Linked DNA regions of Mus musculus. The protein of the gene in region 2 purifies or fractionates together with the protein of the main gene of each other region. This does not show direct contact. Links are inferred from orthologs where the notes say so. Each region holds a gene or a part of one and is shown on either strand. Other genes may lie near its edges.

Region 1 (3,500 bases), on a different chromosome or scaffold from region 2:
TCAGGGATCTGACAACTTCTTCTGGCCTTCATCGGCACCAGACACACATGTTGTACACAAATGTACATGCAGGCAAAACACACCTATACATGTAAAATAAAAACCAAAACTAAAACAAACAAACAAACAAAAAAAACCCAGTCAAAATAGTGTTAGGAACAACAATCCTCAACATGCCTGAATTCTTTATATTTACCGTTTACTTCTAAAACTATAAACTGTTTATTTCAGAAATAAAACACAGGTGAGGGACATGGGAGCAGTTTATTGTAAAATACAAAGCAGCAATGTTTTCTGCAAGTGAGCTTTCATGAAAGACCGGATATCCTCATCAACACCAAGCACGAACAGGACAGCCATGAAGACACTAAAATCGCTTTCTCTTGATAATTTCTGGTTTCCAGCTGACTGGGTGAGTTTCTTCTGTCTAAAATCAGAACAGTAAACAAAGTGTGATTTTATTAGTTTGTTTCCTTTCAATGAAAAGATCTGTCTCTGCTAAATCATAGTACTTGCTTGGCAGGACGTGCTGAGTGGCTCTTGAAAAATTTTAGAAACAGCTGACAAACTTCTGGCATTATCCAAGTTTGACCAGGGATACATGGGTTCGGTTGGATTTCCATTTAGCTATTACAGCAACCCCAGCGCTCTACCTCTACCCTCCTTCCCTCAGCAGTCTCCTGTTTGCCACGATTAATGTATCATTTCCTTCCCAGGAACTGTACTGAGGCAGAACTGTACTTAAAACGTAATGCTTTATCACTGATGTGTCTGCATCAATGAAACCACACAGAAGCCCTGAGCAGGTCAGATCACTATCCAGAGGATGAAACTGATGGTACTATAGTGAGTCTGTTTCTTTTTGTACTCAAATGAGCAGTCCTTGTCAAATTGACATGCAATTCTTTTACTTTAAAATGCATGTGAAAGCTGGGTGTGCTGGCTCATGCCCAAAATCCCAGCATCGGAGAAGCAGAGGCAGGAAGACAGTTTCAAGTTTAAAATCAACTTGAGCTACAAAGTGAGTTCCAGGCCAGCCAGAGGTACCATGTGATACCTTGTCTCTAAATATAAAATATAAAATTAAATTAAACTAAAAAGGAAGGAAGATAGGAAGACAGACAGACAGACAGAGATGGACACTAAGAACTTACCGCAGTCTCATCCTCTCTGTAAACTTTAATGGTTTTATCAGCTTCAGCCGTTAGTAACCGACTTTCTGACCGATCGAAAGCACAAGCAAATATTCCTGACTCACTGTCCAAAGACCCAGGCTGTACAGCTGCATGGACGCGCTGAAAATTATAGCCAGTTCTCCAGTCCCAAAGGTGCATGGTGCCATTGTCAGCTGCAAGGGAAACACACAGCTCTACTTCTATCCCCTCAACAGCTCAGATGACCCAGGAGCTGAACATTACACCAGCAACACACACACACACACACACACACACACACACACACACACACACTCACACACACACACTATCTCTTTCCCTCCCTCCCTCCCTCTCTCTCTAATTCCCTCTAAGTCTCTAATTTATAGACACCATAACATTTAAAATCCAACCAAACATCAGGCAGTTCCTAGCGTAAATCCCTACCTTCATCACATGGGAATGCAAAGATGTCTAAACTATGCAACATGCTGCATGGAACACCACTGAGCACGACGGCAGGCACATTACAAACAGGCACATACACCCTAGTAGGTGTGTCACTACAACAGTGTGATGCTTTAGATACTAACTCACTCACATCAACAGAAGGGCACACTCAACACACCATAGAAACCTTGTGTTACCTCCAGACACAAGCACTCCATCAGCATTGACCGCCAGCGTGTTAATGATTGCATTGTGACCAGAGAGATTTTGAATGAAGCCTCCATCGGGGAATTTCCACTGCTTTATGTTATCTGGAGAACCAGACGCAAATGTGTAACTAGAACAAAGATTGACAGGAATTAATGGGAAAGTACACTGTATCAAAGAAAACTCGCAGCTTTGAAAAAGCTCTGTGTGCTCACTGCTCCAGACAGCCTCAGTAAAATGTAACTTCACCACAGTACAAACTCATCACTATCCTCGCTCCAAGTTCCACCAGCCTTGTCCAGCTGCTGAGATGTACTACTTTAGATCCCAGAGCAGTGTTTTGTTTTCTTTAGTGTGTTACACACTAATTAGCCCAACAAATGTGCACACACACAGGGCAAAAAAAATCTTGAAAGGGAAGGAAAGAGAGGGATGACAAGAGAAAAGGAAGGAAAGGAAGGGAAGGGGACAAGAAAGGGAAGGCGCAGGGAGCAGTGGGGGAGGGTTGGGGGATGTGTGTGGGATGAGCTGAGTCAGGAGTGGCCTGCCTTCTCTGGGAACCGCAGTGCTGATGTCTCTCCCTCCATTTCCTGCACACTTACTTCTCCCTTAGGAATCTAACTCTGCTCTGTCTCTGACAGGACACCATATGTGAAACAATCTGGACAGGTCAAAGTGGGTCCAGTACCCTGTATGTCCAGACACGACTCCCGCCTACTCTGACATTCAGCTTTAACCACAACTTGGCCTTATTTGTCACTCTGTAGAGGGGCTATGGCCTTCATTCCACAGAGCACGAGGCAACAGCAGCAGATGGGAACTGAAAGGCCGTCCTAAGCAGCACAGGCAGAGGTACAGCAGGCCCCCCTGGCCTCAGCGTCACTGAGACGCGGAGAAAGGCAAGCTATCAGCACAGCACACTTACAGTAGCGGATGTAAGACCACAGCCCTCACTGATTTCTTATGGTTCGTCAGTGTCACTCGTGTCTTTCCAGCCACTAGATCCCATAATCGTATTGTGGTATCGTGACTTCCTGTAGTGAAAAGACAGAGACCGGACAGAATCCACAAGTTAAAACCCATTAAACACAATGTACTTGTCTGTGTGTGTGTGTATGTGTGTGTGTGTGTGTGTGTACACTAAATGAAAGTCCTATCACTGTGAATCATTTCCTCAAAATCCTAAAACTGTAGTTATTCTATATTTAGTTCTTTTTAACTTTTTGCCAGAGGCGGTAGAGAGTGGCTAAGTATAAAGAGCAAATAAAAACAAATATGTAATTTTAAACTCCAATGGCAGGGAAGGGGAAAAAATGAATCTTTTTATTTTAAAATCTGTAGTTAGCAAAACAAACCAACTGAAAGAATGACTTTCCAGTCACAGTTAAGATCCAATGTCATTCAAGTAAGATTCATACTAGAATGATAGGTTACAATGCCTAACCTTTTTATGTAATGATACATAAAAAACACAAGATAAAAATATAAACAAACAAACAAAAAACCCTAGAAAACACCTTGCAATCCTAAATTTCAAATGCCCATGATTAAAATCCAAAGAGAAACTAGAACGCGAGTCGGTCGGAGGTGGAGGTGCTTGCGGCGGCTGCAGAATGGCCGGCCGTGCCTCTGGTACGGCTCAGGGGGAGCAGCAGATCGTACCTGTAATGATCTGTGGCTCTGCAGCCT
Region 2 (3,960 bases):
GAGGCAGGGAACTGTTATTATAACAAAACACCTGAGGTAGGCTACTTTAAAGAAAAGAGGGTTCTCCTTGCTCAAATTTCTAGAAGCACAAGGTTCAAAGAGAATGACGTGGGCAATGTCTAGGGCCTCTTCCTTGCTGGTGTCACATTGCCATGGAAGTCAACTGGTTCATTTGTGCCTGTTCACTCTTTCTTTCCCTATATGAACTCCACCAGGATTCTTGTAATGTCTTATTCTAAAGATCCCACCTCTACATTCCACAGTTAAGCTAGATAGTAATGACACACACCTTTGATTTCAGCACTCAAAAGGCAGAGACAGGAAGATCTTTGAGTTTGAGGCCAGCCTTATCTGCAGACTGAGTTCCAGGACAGCCAGGGCTACACACACACACACACACACACACACACACACACACACACAAACCCAGTCTCAAAAAAACAAAAACAAAACCACAGAAAAACACCATAGTCGTGCTAACTTTCCACTCTTACTGTTTGGTTGCTTATTGAGACATGTTCTCTCTACACAGCTCTGACTGCCCTGGATTGGAGCTCACTATATAACCAGGTTGGACTTGTACTCCGAGATCTGCCTGCCTCTGAAGCCCAGTGCCTGTGTTTAAAGACTTCTGCAAACACACCCATCAAATTTCCATTCTTTTAAACGTACACATAAGACGCTGGGAACTAAATTCCCTTGAGTTTACAAAACAGACTATATTTAAAACGTAGCAGGCAACGAAGTCATTGGCTTGCCCATATTTCCAGAGCAAGAATTTAGGCAGTGTTAGTTTCTTTACTCATTTGTGCTTTATTTACAGGGTCACATTGTTTCTCAAAAGCCGGCCAAGGAACACAGGTCTCCGAATCATGCCTACAGACTCTCTAAGGCAGACTCTAGGAATCTGCACTTTTACAAGCTCCTGAAAAATCTGTCTTGCACACGACCATTTCAAAGACTAGTGTTCCCTAGGTGACAGCAGCTCCATCTAAAAAAAAAAAAAAAAAAAAGAGCCTTGGCGGTCCCCGCAGCCTCATGGGAAATGTAGTTTCTTCTCTCCTTCCCGCCTCAGGCCTCTTGGAGCGCTCGCCGGAAGAAGCCGAGCCAATGCGGAAACAGCCGAGTGTTTCGAGGCGGGCCTTTTCCTGCTCGGTTGCATGCTGGGAAAGGGCAGTTTCCGTTAGCTGCAGAAGGCTGAGGCGCGCCACCGGCCACCTCCCCACGTGAAGCAGTTGTGCGAGCATCGCCACGCTGGGCAGCTGTCTACCCGCGTCCGAGCGCTCCGGAAGCGGCGGGGGACCGGAAGTGGCCCGCGGAGGCTGCAGAGAACCGGGAACCCTCTGTGAGGCGACTGGCAGCAGCGCTACGACGGCGCCATGTCCCTGATCTGCTCGAGTGAGTGCTGGCTGCGGCGGGAGGCGGGAGCGTGTGTGGCCCCTGTGGCTCGGGCCCTGGAGCTCCCGGCCCTGCGTGCAGGGTGCATTTGCGCAGGGCTGCGCAATTCACGTAGCTGGGAAGAATGACTGTCTCAGGGGTCTTTTGAAACCGGCGTCGTTTTACAGAGCTGAGACAGGCCTGAGCAGAAGTGGGGGGGAGGAGCTGGTGCAGTGAAAAACAGCTCTTGGTGTCAAAAAACCCGAGGACATGCCCAGGATCCGCCTCCAATTGTGATCTGGGCTCTAGCGGGTTTGGGCCTCAGTTTCCCCATCTGCAAAATTGAAAGCATTGCAGTGGGCATTGCTTGGGAAACCTCGCTTAGGAATCGGACTTTCCGATTTGCAGAGATCACGCAGTGACTTCGAGACAGGGCTGGAAGCCAGGTGTCTGGCTTCTAGCCTCGCGCAGTATGACTAATGAAAACAGCGAATGTTTAGAAAACCTGTATTGATTTACGATGCATTTCCAAACGGTGATCTCATTTTATGCTTACAAGAATTGTCTGAAGGGAAATAAAGATCCGTGAGTTACAGAGGGTGTCGGAAGTCTTGAAGAATGGGTTTACCTAGGGGTGTGCGAGGAAGCTAAGCAGTGGAGCTTGGCTCTTTGAGCCTGGATCCATGGTTTTCCCGTGCACTATGCTGTCCTGTCTTGGGGTGTTGTATTACGGCATTGCGGGTGTTCTCCCATATTGTTTACCACGTTACTAGATTCCTCGCCTTCTCTATTTCCCTCTCAGAACGTTGCCATTAGTTCAAAGAAGGAAAAGGAGGAGGGAAATGACAAGCAGAAAAGGAAATCTCATACTAGAGAAATTGCAGTTTGCAAAGTATTTACAAACGATTTGTTTTCTTTCCATCTTTGAGACCACACTCTTACGTGCCCAGGGCTATCCTTCCTCTGGTAGAAGAGGGAAAGCTCCCAGAAAGCTTTAGTCGTCGAGTAGTGTGATAAACCAACAGAATAGGACAGGAAGGCCGTGTACAAGATACGGGTTTTAAATATGGCACAAATCCATACTTAATAACACATGCATGGGAGTCCTGCAAAAATAGGTGATTCTAAGAGAAGCCACGGAGAAGAATAGGAGCTTGAACCTTAGGATGGTGACTCACAACCTATGGGAGGCTGAATAGAATTGTGTGGTGAATAAGAGCTGTTTTGTGATGTGACAAGTCGCTATCTTAGAGCAGCTTTCAGAAGAGTCTGATGTGGAGGTAGCTTCCACTTGTCTGCTAAAGTGAACCAGTTGACCCTGTTTAGGGGAAGGTAGAGAAACAAGTCTGAGAAGGTCAGAGAGACCTTGGTTTTAAGCCTGCTTTTGGGGCCTTCATTTCTTTATTTTTTATTTTGGTAGTTAAGCATGCTCAAGGCTTCGTACTTTGGAATATTCTTTTCTGGGCCCCGGGACTTTTGCACTCATTTACCCTGTTATGATGTTTATCAAGTGTCAGCTTAGTATCTGCATTGTCCTGGAGGTCAGTGACAGCTGTAACGGCCATCTTCAAGGGTACACAGACTATTCTGTCAAGCGCTTAGAATAGAATCTTGCTTGGCATGTAGTAGCAGAGCTCTTTGTTTGCTTGTTTTCATTTTATCAGTACTTGTCACGTTGCTTCGGAATTTCTCCTGTTGATCTGTCTAGGGCTCCCACTGGATGACAGGTTTGAGTTGTGCTCTGTGTGCTTCTCTGTCCATCTCGGTTCAAAAATGAGATGGGCAGGACTTACTGACCACTCTGTACAGTACTGGCACATAGGATCTGGGCAGTTATTATTTATTGACTTTTATTATCAGCAGACCAGAGAATTTAGCTAAGTAGTTGGCGAGCATTGTAGGACCAAGTACGGGCAGGCTTGCTGTCACAGACCTTGCTTCCTGATAGCTGACTAGGAGGACATGGTCTTGTTGGGGCTGACACAATGAAGAATCTCCTCTGCCCACGTCTCCTTTTCTCCTGTGCTCACTCTCACTACCTGTCTTTCTCTATAGTCTCCAATGAAGTGCCAGAGCACCCGTGCGTGTCCCCTGTCTCTAATCATGTGTATGAGCGGCGACTCATTGAGAAGTACATTGCAGAGAATGGCACAGATCCTATCAACAACCAGCCTCTCTCAGAGGAGCAGCTCATCGACATCAAAGGTGCCTGCCCAGTAGCCTCAAGTCCAAGGCCAGCTCAGCTCAGCCTTCACCGGTGGGGGGTGGAGCCAATCTGGTGGAGAAGATGGTGGCTGGGGGTGGGGGTGGTGGGGGAGAGTTCCCTGGGTTCTAGTTCTTCATACCTACTTTGCTGCCTCTCTTGGCAGTTGCTCACCCAATCCGACCCAAGCCTCCCTCCGCCACCAGCATCCCAGCCATTCTGAAAGCCTTGCAGGATGAGTGGGTGAGTTCTGTGAAAAGAATGCACCTCTGGGCTAGGACCTGGGGATTGAAAAGATGGGGCCTCCCTCCTCCCTCCTCTCCCCTCCCCTCCCCTCTCTCTTCTGTGTCTGGGTCTTTGGCTTACATGTATGACCGTGT

The links.
Region 1: the proteins of Prpf19 (region 2) and Plrg1 purify together in Homo sapiens (affinity purification with mass spectrometry; 8 studies listed by BioGRID and IntAct, counting the BioPlex papers as one, with this or other methods). This does not show direct contact. The link is inferred for Mus musculus from reciprocal best matches to the Homo sapiens genes PRPF19 and PLRG1.

What each region holds. Positions count from the first base shown.
Region 1 is NC_000069.6:83,069,038-83,072,537, reverse strand, and holds the end of Plrg1 (pleiotropic regulator 1), read right to left. Parts: coding exon 3,474-3,500; intron 2,846-3,473; coding exon 2,737-2,845; intron 1,942-2,736; coding exon 1,802-1,941; intron 1,349-1,801; coding exon 1,155-1,348; intron 428-1,154; coding exon 368-427; 3' UTR 247-367; downstream 1-246. UniProt on the Homo sapiens protein: Involved in pre-mRNA splicing as component of the spliceosome. Component of the PRP19-CDC5L complex that forms an integral part of the spliceosome and is required for activating pre-mRNA splicing.
Region 2 is NC_000085.6:10,894,071-10,898,030, forward strand, and holds the start of Prpf19 (pre-mRNA-processing factor 19), read left to right. Parts: upstream 1-1,160; 5' UTR 1,161-1,379; coding exon 1,380-1,398; intron 1,399-3,432; coding exon 3,433-3,582; intron 3,583-3,746; coding exon 3,747-3,823; intron 3,824-3,960. UniProt on the Homo sapiens protein: Ubiquitin-protein ligase which is a core component of several complexes mainly involved pre-mRNA splicing and DNA repair. Required for pre-mRNA splicing as component of the spliceosome.